Linked DNA regions of Ovis aries. The protein of the gene in region 1 interacts with the protein of each later gene in a biochemical or structural test. Links are inferred from orthologs where the notes say so. Each region holds a gene or a part of one and is shown on either strand. Other genes may lie near its edges. The genes, in order: INSR and GRB10.

Region 1 (7,702 bases):
AGCACAGAGTCCTCATTCAATGCCAAGAAGACGGTTTAAACAAATAAACTCAAAGATCTCTCAGACAGACACACCCAAAGAAGGAACATCACTGTTATTTTCTCACCATCAGAACCCATACATTCAGCACAGCAAATGGTATCAGTTTCTTTAATAAGGCTTGATCTGTAAAGGGAAAAACACAGTGTTTTTCCTGGGCATTTCATTTAACTTGATTCATTCAAAGTCGAACCAGGGACCACACAAGCTATGAGGCATGTCATAACGATCCTCGAGGAGTTTGTTCTAAATCCAGAGTCGGCAAACTTTCTCTGGAAAGGGCCCAAGTGTAAATATTGTTGGGAGCCACGCGATCACAACCGTTCAACTCTGCCCTTAGAGCACGAAAGCAGCGATAGAGGATGCGTGAACCAACGGGCATGGCGGCGTGCCAATAAAACTTTATTTACAAAAACAGGCGTGGGCGGGCAGGGTTCGACCCCTGTTCTAAAGACTTTGACCACATATAAATTAACAAGTGAGCGTAAGAGAGAGAGTCAGAGTAGGGAATGGCCGTCAATGAAGGCCAAGATAATAAGCCCGGAAAAGGAGCAGAGGAAAAGAAGAGAGAGAATGGGAGGAGCCAGGGACAGGTGAAAACTCACCAGGAGAGGGGAAGCAAAACCCAGAGAAGTCAGCTGGGGTGAGGCTGCCATTGGTAGGTGAGGAATGACTTTGGTTAGCACCATGGGCAAAGCAATGGAGACACAAGCCAGATGCTGTGGGCAGAGCAGTGGGTGAAAGGTGAGAGAGCAAGGGTGATGAGTGCCCATCAGCGGTTGGGGGAGGCTTGACAGAGGAAGGCAAAAGGTGGGTGGTGGGTACCGGGGTCCTGGGGAGTATTGAGTGTTTATAGGCTGAAAAGAAAAAGGCTTCTGGGTGGATGGAGATCCCTGAACAGAGGGGAGAGAGGAGGGGACCTAAGTGGATAAGTGTCCTGCATACTAAGTCACTTCAGTCGTGTCTGACTCTTTATGACCCCATCGACTGCAGCTTGGCAGGGTCTTCTGTCCATGAGATTTCCCAGGCAAGCATACTGGAGCAGGTTGCCATGCCTTCCTCCAGGGGAGCTTCCTGATCCAGGGATTGAACCCACACCTCATGTGTCCCCTGCATTGGCAGGTAGGTTCTTTACCACTAGCACCAAAAGCAGTGGTTCTCAATCAGAGGACAGTTGGTGGTGTCTGCAGACACTTTTTAGTGGTCATGACTTGGAGAGGGGCGTTGCTACTGGTCAGAGACCGCAGACAGTGAGCAACATCTTAAGATACACAAGACAGCCCCCTGCAACCAAGAACTATCCAACCTCATAGATCAAGAGCACAGAAATTGAGAAGGTCTATTCTAGCCAAAAAATAAAGGATGTCAATGAGGAAGTGGAGTGAGGTGGGGGCCCATGGGGTGAGGCTCGCCCCCAGTGACCTCTATGAATGAGCAGGGCAGGGTCGAGAGGCAGGTCACCAGGAGGGAAGCAAAGACTAGGAAGAACCTCAGAGAACTGACCCAGAGAGCAGAAGTTCTGATCTGAGGGTCCCAGAGTGCACCAGAGAACCACAAGAGAAACACTAGATTCCACCTCGAGATGTAAGGGGATCCAAAAGCAACATCTAGCACCTCAACTCATCAATTCACTGCCCCTGCCAAGATTCAGTTTCCACTATAATTAATCCCACTTTGCCTTCATTCTCTGACTTTGCAGTGCTCCTGGGTCATCTCGGGCCAGAGTGGGTCAACCCAAGGAGACATGGGAGGGAAAACCACTGCCCAGTTCAGCCAAGCCACAGAGACTCCACAGGGGGGATGAAATGGGCTGGCCCATCCCATGTGACATCGAGGAGAGAGTCCTCAGTCCTTCAAAATCCCACTGATCTCCATCGACCCCACCCCCACCCCAGACAGAATGCCACACTGCTTGCTGCTGGAGATTAACCAACGATCCGGAAAGTTCCTTGCCCCTCCCCAAACCTCCGAAGGGCATCACATGTCATTTATTCGAGAGTATTTTGTTAACCTTTATACCACAGGGGTTAGGGCGGGGAGGCTCAGAGTCCCAAGAAGAACCTTCTGTTAAGAAACCTTTTATTAACAAACCGGAGTTCTCATCTCAGCACTGCCACCTCATCCAAGTTCCTCACCTTCGAAATGGATGATAAACCTTACCTCGGAGGGCTGTGGTGAGGATTAATCGAGATTATCAATGCCGAGTGTGTAGAATTTGCTTGTATTTGTGTCAGCTAGGTTTTATCTGAAGAATAAAGGAGCCATGACTTGGACTCCTGGGAAGAACAGGAAGGACAGGAGTTGGATCTAGAACAAATATTTAGGACTTCCCTGGTGGTCCAAGGGCGACAAATCCTCCTGCCAATGCTGAGGACAGGGGTTCGACCTCTGGTATGGGAAGACCACATGTGCTGCAGAGCAGCTAAGCCCGAGTGCCACAGCTGCTGAGCCTGCACTCTGGGGCCAGGGAGCCACAACTATTGAGCACACGAGCCACAACTACTGAAGCCGCGTGCCCTGGAGCCCGGTCTCCACAACAAGAGAAGCCGCTGGAATGAGAAGCCCATCCCATGCACAGCAACTACAGAGTAGCCTCGATCCTCACACCTAGAGAAAAGCCCAGCACAGCAATGAAGACCCAGCACGGTCAAAATAAATAAATGTATCAAGCATCTCCTAGGTGTCAGGGGCTGCTCTAGACTCTGGAACTGTGGCAGTGAACAGAGAAACATAAGCCTCTCCCTCGTGGAAGCTATAAACATGCAAGAAGTGGCAAATCCATCCACTGACCCCTGAAAGTGAAAGTCGATCAGTCGTATCGGACTCTTTGGGACCCCATGGACTGTATGTAGCCCACCAGGCTCCTCTGTCCATGAGATTCTCTGGGCAAGAATACTGGAGTGGATAGCCATTCCCCTCTCCAGGGGATCTTCCCGATCCAGGGATCAAACCCAGGCTCCTACAGGCAGATTCTTTACCATCTGAGCCACCAGGAAAGCCAGCCCAGGCACAAATCCACCATTAATTCCTAAAGCTACCAGGAACAGAGGAGCAAGGAACTGCATGCATATACAGATGTGCACCCACACACAGACACACACGGGCATGGACACACAAAGCCGGACACAGATCTAACAGCTGGTCTGGGTTTTTGTGTGTGTGTGTGTGTGTGTTTTTTTTCTAACAAGAGCCTAAATCCACTGCTACCCTTCCTTGGAGGAGCACTCACTGTATACCAGGCACTTGGGTGCTTGGAGACGTTGCCTAATTGGCAAAGGTGCTCCACAAACCCGGTTTGTCAACTCCAGAGCCCCCACGTGCTTTCTCGTGCATCCCCACTCACCGACAGGCAACTCAGGAACTTCTGTTCCTTCCCTGCCTGACCCCTTCCTCATCGGGACTGATTTCCTTTTATGGAGAAATCTGAAGAAGTAACCCAACACATATTTTGAAAGCAGGGCCTCCGCCATCATGGTGGGAAACCCCAGTTATATTCTCTTCAAGGATTTTCCATCCTTGACCTGCAGCCAGAAAGACGTGCTGTCAAGCCCAAGGAAAATGCTGGGACTTACCCCTCTCCCCATACCAGGGAGCTGCTAGCCCAGGGACACTCATGAGGGAGAATTGGAAGGGAGAGGGGGCAAGGTGCTGGGCTGACCACAGATTAGAGACCTGCCCAGCTGACAGGTAAAAAGGTAGAGGAGGGAGGTTACCAGGGGTTCCTGGGGCGTGGGCAGCTGGGCAGAGCCCTGGGCAGAGCCAGAGAGGTTTGTCTTCTCTCTAGCTCTGATTCTGGGGCAAGTGAATTCTGTGTCCTTCCTGAGCCTCAGTTTACTCCTCTATGAAATGGACCAACAACAGTATCAGCCTCCACGGGCTGCTGCAGAGATCCAGACAGATAAGACCGGCCAGCCCGAGGCATCTGGTGACACCAGCTATAATAATCATAAAAGCCAACACTACTGCTACTACAGCTGCGCTGTTGCCAAGGGCTAGAGCTTGCCTCCGACATCTGGAAACAGAATTCCAGAGTATAAACATGGACCTGAAGTCAGGGGTAGCCGTGGGTCTAGATACCAGAAAGAAAGGGGCGGGTTCTACACTTCCTCGGCCCCTGGGGGAGCGTCACCAAGCTGCTGGGATCTCAAGGGACCACCCTGCCTTCAGTCAGTCACCCTCGATTCTCACTCCAAACCGTCTGTGCCCGGGGCATTTGGCTGTGTGAGAGTGTCCGATGACCCTACTTCTCGGAGGCGACCCAGAGAGGACGTGTGTCCCGTCTCTGGAGCCAGGTGGTGGGCTCAGAGAGGCCCAGACACGGGGGTTCGAGGAGCGCTCTCGGGAGAGGCGCCCGCGGAGGGGCGGGCACTAGGGCAAGGTTCCTCCAGCCCCGGGCCGCATGCGGGTCGTGGAACCGCTAGCCCAGGCGGGCAAAGGCCAAGGTCAGCGGCTTCCCGCCCCCCGCGAGGCCGGAGAAACCGTCCGAGCCACCAGCCCTCCGACGGAGGACGGCACTCCGTCCACAACGGGGGGTGGTTCCATTTTGGCAAAGGGTCCCCTCCCCACCCGCGCGGCTTCCCGCCCGCTCCGGGACCCCCCAGACTCACCTTCTCCAGGGTACAGGTGGCCCGCGGCGCCCACCAGCAGCGCGGCGACGACCACCAGCAGCAGCACGGCTGCCGCCCCGCTCCCGCCCCCGGCGCCCATGGCTGAAGGATCAGAGCGCGGGGCGCTGGCTGGCGGGGTGCATGCTCCGAGGCGGCCGCCCCAGAGGCGCTGGGGGTCGCGCGTCCTTCTCTTCCACGCGGGCAGCCCAAGGTCCCGCAGCCTGCGCCCGGGAGGACTCTAGATACGGCCCCGGGAGGGGCGCGCGGCCTCCGCTGCTACGAATCCGGCAGCGCGGCCGGGTGGAGACGGTCCCGACTCCGGGCCCCCGCGGCCCGCGCCCCCGTCCCGACGATCTCAGGGCCCGGAGCCCCGCGCTGCGCCCCCCTGACTCTAGGCTCTTGGCCCCGAGCGCTCCGGAGCTCCGATCTTCGGACGCGCGGACAAACGGACGTGCGGACAGGCGGGCGGGCACCTGGGCTGGCGGGTGGCGGGCAGGCGGCGGGAGCCAGGGCTGCTCGGCCCGTAAACAACGCGGCCCGTCAGCTGGGCCCCGTTCGGGCCGCGGGAAAAGGCGGCGCGGATCTGGGCTCGGAAGGGACTCGGCGCCCGGCAGAGGCCCGAGAGGGGTGGAAGGAGGACGGGCAGGGGGGAGGCGCCGCCCCGCCCGCCCGCCGGTCTCCCTATCCTGGGCCCCGCGCTGGAGGCCCCCGTCGCGCCGTAGCCGAGGGGGCGCCCTAGATGCCTGCCCAGCCCCAGCGCCCCGTACAGCCCCAGGACTCCTGTCTCAGAGCCCGGGAGCGCCCCAGATTGACCAACTCAGCAAGTCGGATCGCGTGTTTAAAACATTTTGCTAGTTTGTTCTTCGTGGGACTTTAGAAAATTCATTTTTATTTTTTTAAATATTGCATTAAAATATTGTTTATCGTGGTTACTCGGCTTTTTGGTACTCCCTTAAATGTTGCGTTCACCTTCCCCTCGTCACAGTCTGGCCAGTGAGTATGGCCCTCGAGCGCCCCGGATGTCCTACCCCAGAGTGCGCCCCCGCCCAGAGCCAGGCCCCTGGGGACAGCCACGTGCACGAGCGTGCCGCGTGCGCTCAAGTATTGGGTAGCCTGGCCCCTCCGCACGATGCGTGGTTCAAGGTGGAGAAATGACCCTTAGGAGAAAGTGTAGAAACTAGCAAAAAAAAAAAAAAGTGCAAACCAGGCGCTGGAGATCTTCGGTAGAACACAGGTGGACACACCCAAGTTTCAATGCGCAGACCCAGAGTCCGTGTGTGTTTGAACGTCAGTCACGTGACAGTGGCCACCCCGCCTGCTGAAGAGGGGCCTTAAGCACAGAGAAGCCAGAACGGAGTGAGAATCTGCTTGAATGAGTAATTTTTCTCTCTCTCGATGGGCCTCATCTGTATGATGCACGTAAGGACACCTTCAGGTCAGATTTGGTGAGTTGTAAGGGCTTCCCGGAGAAGGCGATGGCACCCCACTCCAGTACTCTTGCCTGGAAAACCCCATGGAGGGAGGAGCCTGGTAGGCTGCAGTCCATGGGGTCCCTAAGACTCGGACAGGACTGAGCGACTTCACTTTCACTTTTCACCTTCATGGATTGGAGAAGGAAATGGCAACCCACTCCAGTGTTCTTGCCTGGAGAGTCCCAGGGACAGGGGAGCCTGGTGGGCTGCCGACTATGGGGTCGCACAGAGTCAGACACGACTGAAGCGACTTAGCAGCAGTAGCAGCAGCAGCAGCAAGGGCTTCCCAGGTTGCTCAGTGGTAAAGAATTTGCCCACCAATGCAGGAGACGCAGGTTAGATTCCTGGGTCAGGAAGATCCCCTGGAGGAGGAAATGGTAGCCCACTCCAGTATTCTTGCCTGGAAAATCCCATGGGTAGAGGCAGGCTACAGTCCATGGAGTCGCAAAGAGTTCGACATGACTGAGCTCGTGTGCATACACACACACACACACACACACACACACACACACACAACGGAGCACGCACACGCATGCACACACACAGTCTCCCAGGGGAAATAAAGCATGACAAAGCACCCAGAACAACTGTTGGCTGAGGGCATTCATTCTTCCTTTCATCTATTAAACAAATATTAGTTTGCCAGTAGATGGGCCCACTGTTCTTCTAACTCAAGTCTATTCCTGCCTCCCCTGTCCTTCTGGTGTCTGGCTCCACTTGTCTGTTCCAGTGAGCCTTCCCTGACCAACTTTGCAAACACTCCCTGTCCCCTCCTCCATTTGTTCCTGTCCAGACAGCACGCTGGTGTCTCTACCTGAAATTCTGACTTATTGTGTGTATTCACCCCTCCCCAGGAAGGCAGAAATCTTGTCCATCATGTTCAGTATTTTACACCCAGTGACTGACATATCCATTGCTTAATAAATATTTGTTGAGCGGAAAAATCAACATGCAGTAAGCAGTGGGGATTCGCAGGGAGCCAAATAAACACCATTCATTTCCTTGTAGACCTCACAACCCAGTGTAAGGAGAAAGCCATTAAGTCGCACATCAGATGTTTTATAAGGTGAGGTGGGGAGAGGCAGAAGGATTCTCCAAAGAGGTGATTTTGAACTGAAATCTGAGGAGAGAGAGCCAGCCCAGGGAAGCATCAAGAAAATGTTCCAGGTGGAGGGAACGGCGTGTGCAAAGGCCCAGAGGACAGGCCAGTGTTCTCACAACTGAGCCAGGCACTGTAGCTGGAGAAAAGAAAGCAAAGAAAGAAAAGGGGAAGGCTGGGCTGGTAGGCGAGACTAAAAGGGATATACCATGTATGGGTTGTCTTCAACACACCCTTTATCCTAAAAGCAACAAGGATGCATTAAAGGGTTTATACCAAAGGGTTGGGCTTCCCTGGTGGCTCAGACAATAAAGAATCTGCCTTCAATGCAGGAGACCCAGGTTGGACCCTGGGTCTGGAAGATCCCCTGCAGAAGGGAATGGCTACCCACTCCAGTATTCTTGCCTGGAAAATCCCATGGACAGAGGAGCCTGGCATGCTACAGTCCATGGGGTTGCAAAGAGTCAGACACAACTGAGCGACTG
Region 2 (7,702 bases), on another chromosome or scaffold:
ACACTCCCAGGGATGAAAGTTTCCCAAAAAAATAAACTAAAAGCCCCGCAGGTGGGAGAAGTGAGTACTCGCAGGGTCTCTCCCCTCCAACAAGCATCTCAGATTTGATCCAGGTGGCTGGGGGTCCCTTGCTGTTGGCAGCCACGTGACAGGTGGTCTCCAGGTACCTTCTAGGTTCTCTCTTGCAGAGTGAGACAACAGTAAGCTCGCAGCCAGGGCCAGACAGGCAGGCCGCCGGGCAGTGCCAGGGGCAGTGCGCAGACAGCTGAAGATCCCAGCCACCCAATGCAGTTTCAGTTGCAGTGACGGTGAAGAGGGCAAAAACACAGAAAACTCTTTCCAGGCCACGTGCTTTCTGAGCCTGTGCTACCCGGCGAGACTGCGGCTGTTGGTACCTGGGCCCGCTGACCTGGCTCTAAGATCCAGCCAGACTTCTGGGGGATGGAGGTTGCCAACAGCACCGCCCCAGACACGGTGCAGGAGGCACTTGGGGGCACGGGCAGCCCATCAGGATGTGCAGCTCATGTGCATTTCAGTCCCAGCTGGGATAGGTGTCTCTGCAGACTCCAGACACCGAGCACCCTGGGGTCCTGAAGACAGAGGCCACCAGGCCCCGTGTACCTGCGCCCAGCAGTCTCCATGCAGGCGTCCAGCATCACAGCGTGTCTGAGCCTGTGTATCTCAGCCACTGCAAATGTCTTGTTCCTGGGCACAAAGAACCAATTTTTGACGTCTGTCCCTCCCCATGGTCTGGTTCAAGTGGGCTGTGGCCAGGCGAGGTCTCCATCCCACCGTCTACCTCTGCTCACAGCATCCTACCCATGGGCTGCTCTGAGGCCAGGAGAGGCTTCTCACTCACAGCGACTGGTGCTGAAGGCAGAATCCAGCCAGTGACACAAGGTTTTGTACAGCTAATGGATCCAGAGACAAAAATACAAACAAAGTAGTCTTCTTTCTAATTAATAGAGAGAGACCTCGTAAATTAACAAAGAAGCATTACCCAGCATGCAAGCTATTCTAAGCCAGGCTTAGGGTCACAGACGCAGCATCTCTGAGCTCTCACCACGTACCAAGGTGCACACGACCCCAGAGGCACCCCACCTTCCCTGCAGGTCGGCACCCCTGTGACTCTCATTTTACCAATGAGCTAGTAAAAGCTAGCTCAATGAGCTCACCCAGCTGCTTAAAGAAGACCAGGAGTCCTGCTGAGGCAGAGTGCCCAGTGGAGTCATCAGTACCATCCACCCACTTGGGCAAAAGCAGAAAAGAGCAACATGGTGGCAAAGGAGATGCTAAAACACACAGTCCAACCTGGCAGAGGGAGCCCAAATGAGAAACCCCTCAAAGCAGGGGTCTGAACAATCAAGGCAATCACGCCCCAAGCCAGATGTCAAGTCACTGGTGGAAAAACAGGAGCAATATTCAAGTTTTCCCAGTCGCACCCAGTCATGACCCACTAACTTCATCCTATGCATCTGGGCAGGGATTCTAAAGCAAGACTATGACTTAAGTTATTTCTACCTCAACATCCACCCCTTTCCCAGATGAACAAAAGAGCACTCAAGCAGCCCAGGCTCCGTTTATTCTCAAGCCCACCTCTCCCACTAGAGGAGCAAAAAGGGGTATCTCCTCGGAGTTGTTTTATCCCCAAAGCAGAAAGTCATGAGCACTCATTTCTAACTCTGGGGTGATTTTTGATGGCTTTTTTTGGTCTCAAAACCAGTCGTCCCATTTTTCCTTATGTTATTACAGAAAAGCCATCAGACTGGTGATTTTAAGCATTACCTGTTCTCATCCCCTTACAGTCAACAAGACACGATCATCAGGAGCACGGACACCAAACAGAGAAGGTGGGAGAACAGACAGCTCCCCAGAAACGTGCCATGAAGTAGTAACACAATGTAAAAGCCAGCCAGCGCCTGAACGGGTGCGATCAGTTTTACACCCGTTGGTACAAAGACCTTGTTGACGGTTCCCAGGTCCCCAAAGCACCCATTTGCCCACCAAGTCACTTGTCTGTTCTAACATCTTCCTTAATCTCCCAAACGCCCAGTTAAGCAAAAGATAAAGACAGGTGAAATAAAGTCTCAACAAGCAGAAAAAGTTTTAGTGAAATTATGAACATATGACTGACTACATACATGAAAAGCAAAACAAATGTTTTCTCTTTATAGATCCACATGATTCCACGTTGGTTTGACAGCATGAGAAACTGACAAAGGCATCACACCCCAAGCCGTGAACACACACACTTCCTCCCACGAAGCAGGACAGAACTCGCTACAGTCAGTGTCAGAGTTCCGACAGGCGGACCAGCCCACCACCACGCGTGGCTCTTTTCACCAGCGGTTAAGAGTTGGACCGAATTCCAAGGAAATAAGTTCCTTAAACTATGTCATCTTGAAACTTTTATCAGCTATACCAACCTAGAATTTCTAAAGCTGTAAGAGGAAGGTAAAGGCACAGCGGATGTCTTTGTTCATGCAGGAGCTTGGTTTCTATACATTGTCAAGACTTAGAACAGCCTCATCATCCAAATCAAAAGTTCAAGAGTCTGGCTTTGTTCCCCTCTCCTGTTTGAGGCTCAGTGGCCACAGAGATGGTCACTGTGACTGGGCCAGGGCTGTCCAGGTTCCGATCCTGGCAGCTACCACGCTACAAGCCCTGGCATGAATCTGCCCAGCTCCAGGTTCCTAGTCCACAATGAAAGGCATTTTGCCCAGTCCAAAAGCTACACACACCACAGGCAATACGCTCTAGATGATTTTAGCGGGGCACAGCTTTTATTAAAACACAGTTCTTATTACAGTAAACATAACCACCATATCAGACTCATGACTCTGTGGTATCAAAATTTCCTTCCAAAACAAATTCGTATCTAAGCACAAAAAGTGAGCGGAGAAAAGAAAACACTGATAATAGCCTAGTGATAGGGCAGGTATCCAGGAGCCACGGGAATGGGAACAGAGTCTGCCGGTTCTCCGGGTGTCTGACCAGCCCAGGGACGCTCCTAGGCCATTTCTCTTTCAGATGCACAGAAGCATGAACCACAGACAACTGGGAAAAAACAAACAAAAAAAAGAACCCAAAGCTTAGGATCTGGTGACAGCTTTGGCATTTGCCAGCCATGTGATCGGACATGCATTTGTTAACCTCCTGAGCCTGGGTTTGTGCGTGTCTGATTCTTTGCCACCCCACGGACTAGCCCACCTCCTTGGTCCATGGGATTCTCTAGGCAAGAATACAGGACTGGGCTGCCATTTCCTACTCCAAGGGATCTTCCTGAATCAGGGGCCAAACCTGAGTCTCTTATATCCATCTCCTGCATTACTTGGTGGGTTCTTTACCACTAGCGCCACCTGAAAGCCCAAGCCTCAATTTCCAAACCTGTAAAATGGGGAGCAGGAGGCTGCAGAGGATTAAAAGTAATCAGGCTTTGAACGTGTGCCATAGACAGTGAAATGCCACACAAGTATCCCTTGCTGCACTTCTCAGTTACTTCTCAGTTGCTGGGTGTGTGACTGTCCTCAAATTCCCTCCCCGAGACCTGGGGGTTGGCCTGTGTGGCCATCTCTTTCAAATGTTTCCAGTAAAACTCAAATATTATATGCAATAATCCTAGAATTCTGATTCTTAACCGGAAAACCTAGTCATCTAGAATCATTCCTGGAAACACTTCGGTTTCAGAGCTTTTTTCCTAACAAAATACTTAACCTAAAAGACACCACCATCGCCAGAAGTCAGAACTTCTTTTGCCACAGAAACCTAGAACCTATCTATTTTTCCTCCTGGAAAGAACGAAGGAATCAGCGAGTCAACTCATGAAAAACGTCCGACTTGGTGCTGTAAACCCTAGTCAACGCCTGTTGCTGTGTTAACATGTGTTCTTAGTAAAACTGAGCGAAACGTTAGAGAAAGCACCACTTTGGAAACTCGGGGGCTCCGAACCGCTGAATCAGCATTTCCAGAAACAAAGTGTTCTGGGTTAGGCCTTGTAAACAGCAGCAAAGAGCAAGTTGTGCAACAACGCGTGTTTACTCACTAGCGCTACTTGTTTGGGTCTTTTCTCCGCATCTCTTGAATGAAGCTGGGGACAACATTTGCAAGAAAGCTTTCTCTCCAACGAATGCATCAGAAAGATCCGGGCCCGGGCAAAGTCACCTGTGGCTTCCCTACGTGACCCACCGTCTCACCGAGGCAAATGACAGAAACTTGGCGTGTCTTCCAACCCCAAGACAAGAAAAACACAATAAAAAGTAGAGAATGTCTCATTTCCATAACGCACATGCTCCAGGGCCGTCCTCAGGCAGGCGCGGGGAGAGGCGATCCGGAGGCCGAGAGTTGCATCAGAATCGCCTTCGGAGAACCGCACAGCTCTTATCACATTTCCCCGGCTGGCGGGCCGCTAACCCGCGAACCCTCGACTTGGGGTTAGGCCCCGGGGGAGGGGAAACGGGTCGCCAGCAGAACCAAAGGGAAAGATCCCAGGATCTGGCTCGCTCCAGCTCCTGAGGGTCCGGCCCCACCGCGCGAGCACGGGCGCACCGGGGGCTGCAGGGGCGCGCGGCGCCCACCCTCCAGGCGATCCGGGAGCGCGGCCTTGGCCCCGACCGCCCGGCGGCGCAGCCCCCACCCCGGCCCGGCCAGTGAGCCGCCGGCGTCGGACAGGAGGGCTCCAGAGGGCGCCGCCCGGGCTCCCCGGCTCCGCGGGGTCGCCGACGCCGAGCGCCGCGCCCGGTCCCCGCCCTCGCGCGCCGCAGCCCCCGGCCCGAGGCGACGCCCTTCCGCCCGCCGCGCCCCCGCGGCGCCCGGCGTCCCCGGCCCGGGCGGCCCGCGCGCAGACAATGACGCCGGGACTGCAGCCCGCCCGCCCGCCGGCCACAAAGTAACTTGGCGCCTCGCTCGCCGCCCAACTCCCTACCTGCCACGGCGCCGTTCGCTGCCGCCTCCGCCTGGCCGCCCGCGCCCCTCGGCGCGGCCGGGGCGGCGCGGGTCCCGCGGGGCAAGGGCGGCGCGCAGGGCGGTCCCGACCCCCGCGTGCCGCCGCCCGGGGACCGCGCGCAAACTTTGGCTCCGCGGCTTCCGAGCGCCCGCCCGCCGCGGCGCGCCGCTCGCGCTCCTTCCTGCCGCCTCCCGGCCTCCCCACCCCCTCGATGGGCTTTAAACCCGCCCGGCCCCGCCCGCCGCCGCCGCCGCCGCCGCCGCCTCCGCCTCCGCCGCCTCCGCCTCCTCCCCCGGTCGCTTTTCCTGCTCCTCCTCCCGCCGCCGCCGCTGCTGCCACCGCAGCCCGGACCGCTCGGGGCCGCCAGCGCGGGCAGGGCCGCGGCCTGGGCGCAGGGCGGGTCGCGGAGGGAGCTCGGGGAGCCGGCGGGGTGCGGCGCCGGGCGCGGGGCCGGGCGCTCCCGCAGGTCGCTGCTGCCGGGGGCTGGCACGGGGGACTGGAAGCCGGCAGCTGGGCGTGGGCGCCCGGACCCCTGGTCCCGCTCTTGGGACTCGCGGACGTAGAACCGCGACCACCCAGCCTGGAGCGCCCTCGAAACACACATCAGACCTCTCCTGGAAGGCAATTTGCAAGCGAATTCTTTGAAACTCAAGTTGAAACTGTGCGGCCCCATTCCCCGTCCCGGGCGCAGCGGGAAGACTGGACGGAGAAGCCTGAGGAGCGGCTGCTGCACTGGCTGTGCCTTGGGCGGCGGTTCCGCGTGGGACCGGGGAACCTGGGCTTCAGCGTCCGCCCGCCGCTGGCGGAGTCTGGAGCCTTGACCCCTCGTAGCCACAGTTTCCCTATCTGCGTACCCGCCCCGGAGCGCGCGTGGAGTGGGAGGCCCTGTTTATTTTCTGTATACCAACGGGCCTCAACGTCCTTAGCTTTGCAATAGGCTAATAAGCCCGCCTACGAGTAATGTCCTGAGGGTTAAATGAGATGTTAACTTGTAACATAAAGCGAAAGGTAAGAAGGAACCCCTACGTTCATCGACACCGTTGTAATTAACATGATTATTAATATTTCTATCGAATCAAAATTATAATACAAATAGGATAATAACAATAATTATGTCTTTTTCTGGGATTTGATATTATAAAAACAGCTGCAGTAATAACTTACCTTCATTGAGCGTGCGTTTTGTGCCAAACATTTCATTAATCCTCTGCTTTCACCCTCTGAGCTTGTTACTAGGAGATGCCCACTGCACAGGCGAGGAAACCCAGTCGCCCAGAGGTTAGATAATTTGCCGAAGGTCAGAGACATTACTTTGCCAACAAAGGTCCGTCTAGTCAAAGCTTGGTTTTTTCCAGTAGTCATGTATGGATGTGAGATTTGAACTATAAAGAAAGTTGAGCGCTGGAGAATTGATGCCTTGAACTGTGGTGTTGGAGAATTCTTGAGAGTCCCTTCGACTGCAGGGAGATCCAACCAGTCCATCCTAAAGGAAATCAGTCCTGAATATTCAATGGAAGGACTAGTGCTGAAGCTGAAACTCCAATACTTGGGCCACCTGATACAAAGAACTGACTCATTTGAAAAGACCCTGATGCTGGGAAAGATTGAAGGCAGGAGAAGAAGGGGAGGACAGAGGATAAGATGGTTGGATGGCATCACTGACTCAATGGACATGAGTTTGAGTAAGCTCTGGGAGTTGGTGATGGACAAGGAAGCCTGGTGTGCTTCAGTCTATGGGGTGGCAAAGAGTCGGACACGCCTGAGCAACTAAACTGAACTGAACTGAAGTAGCTCCTAAGTGCAGAATAAGGATTCTGCCACAACCCTTTAGGGCACTTTTTATAACTTTTGTGTTTCCCACCTTTGGCCTGATTTATCCAGGAGAATTCATCCTTTCTTGAAACTGAAATAAGCATCCTGAAAATATCTCCCCATTGGTCCAGGTTCAGAAAACCCTAAGATGAAACATCTAGAGAGTAATGCAAAGGAACTTAGTTCCTGGAAGAACTTAACTGGACACAAAGATTCCTGTAATAGACAAAGGATCCAGAGCAAGTTAAAGGGGGAAAAGTCATGGGCCAGTTCTGGAGAGCCATGTAAGTTTGACTCTTAAGAGTTTTGTCAAAGGTTCCAGTCAGCAAGGAGACTGAACCAGCCAGAAAGCCTGATAGACAAAGGGCTTTTATAGGTGTTTGAAAACCACCTTATATGTAGACATAGTTTCCTGGATTATTTCTAAGTAAATTCCATACACTAAAGCCCCTTACCCCTACATATGGGCTTGTCAATGGTAAAGAATGCTTCTAATGCAGGAGACGGGGGGTTGATCTCTGGCTTGGGAAGATCCTCTGGAGAACGGAATGGCTACCCACTCCAGTATTCTTGTATAGAAAATTCCATGGACAGAGGAGCCTGGTGGGGTACAGTCCATGGTGTCACAAGGAATCAAGCGTGACTTAGTGAACAAACTCATGTATATCATGATAAGTCCTTCCTATGAGTAGGGATATTATCTATCATAATCACAGTACAATTACAAAATTATAGCTTAATAATGATAAACTATGTGCATCTATTCTTGGTCCAGATTCCAATTTTGCTAGTTGGCCTGACAGTGTTCCTTATGGTATTTCTTTCCCCTCCCTTAAAAGATCCACTCAAGACTCAAGTGTCATATTTAGCTGTCTGAAAATGTATGGGTTTTCAAACACTACTCTTCACTGAGAAGGGATGAAAATAAATGTCCTCAAGTGTTTGCAT

What was found.
Region 2: the proteins of INSR (region 1) and GRB10 form a complex in vitro, tested with the Homo sapiens proteins (5 studies listed by BioGRID and IntAct). The link is inferred for Ovis aries from reciprocal best matches to the Homo sapiens genes INSR and GRB10.

Annotation. Positions count from the first base shown.
Region 1 is NC_056058.1:13,931,036-13,938,737, forward strand, and holds the start of INSR (insulin receptor), read right to left. Parts: upstream 5,232-7,702; 5' UTR 4,747-5,231; coding exon 4,647-4,746; intron 1-4,646. UniProt on the Homo sapiens protein: Receptor tyrosine kinase which mediates the pleiotropic actions of insulin.
Region 2 is NC_056057.1:5,909,460-5,917,161, reverse strand, and holds the start of GRB10 (growth factor receptor-bound protein 10), read right to left. Parts: upstream 4,715-7,702; 5' UTR 4,286-4,714; exon of another isoform or gene 4,043-4,285; intron 1-4,042.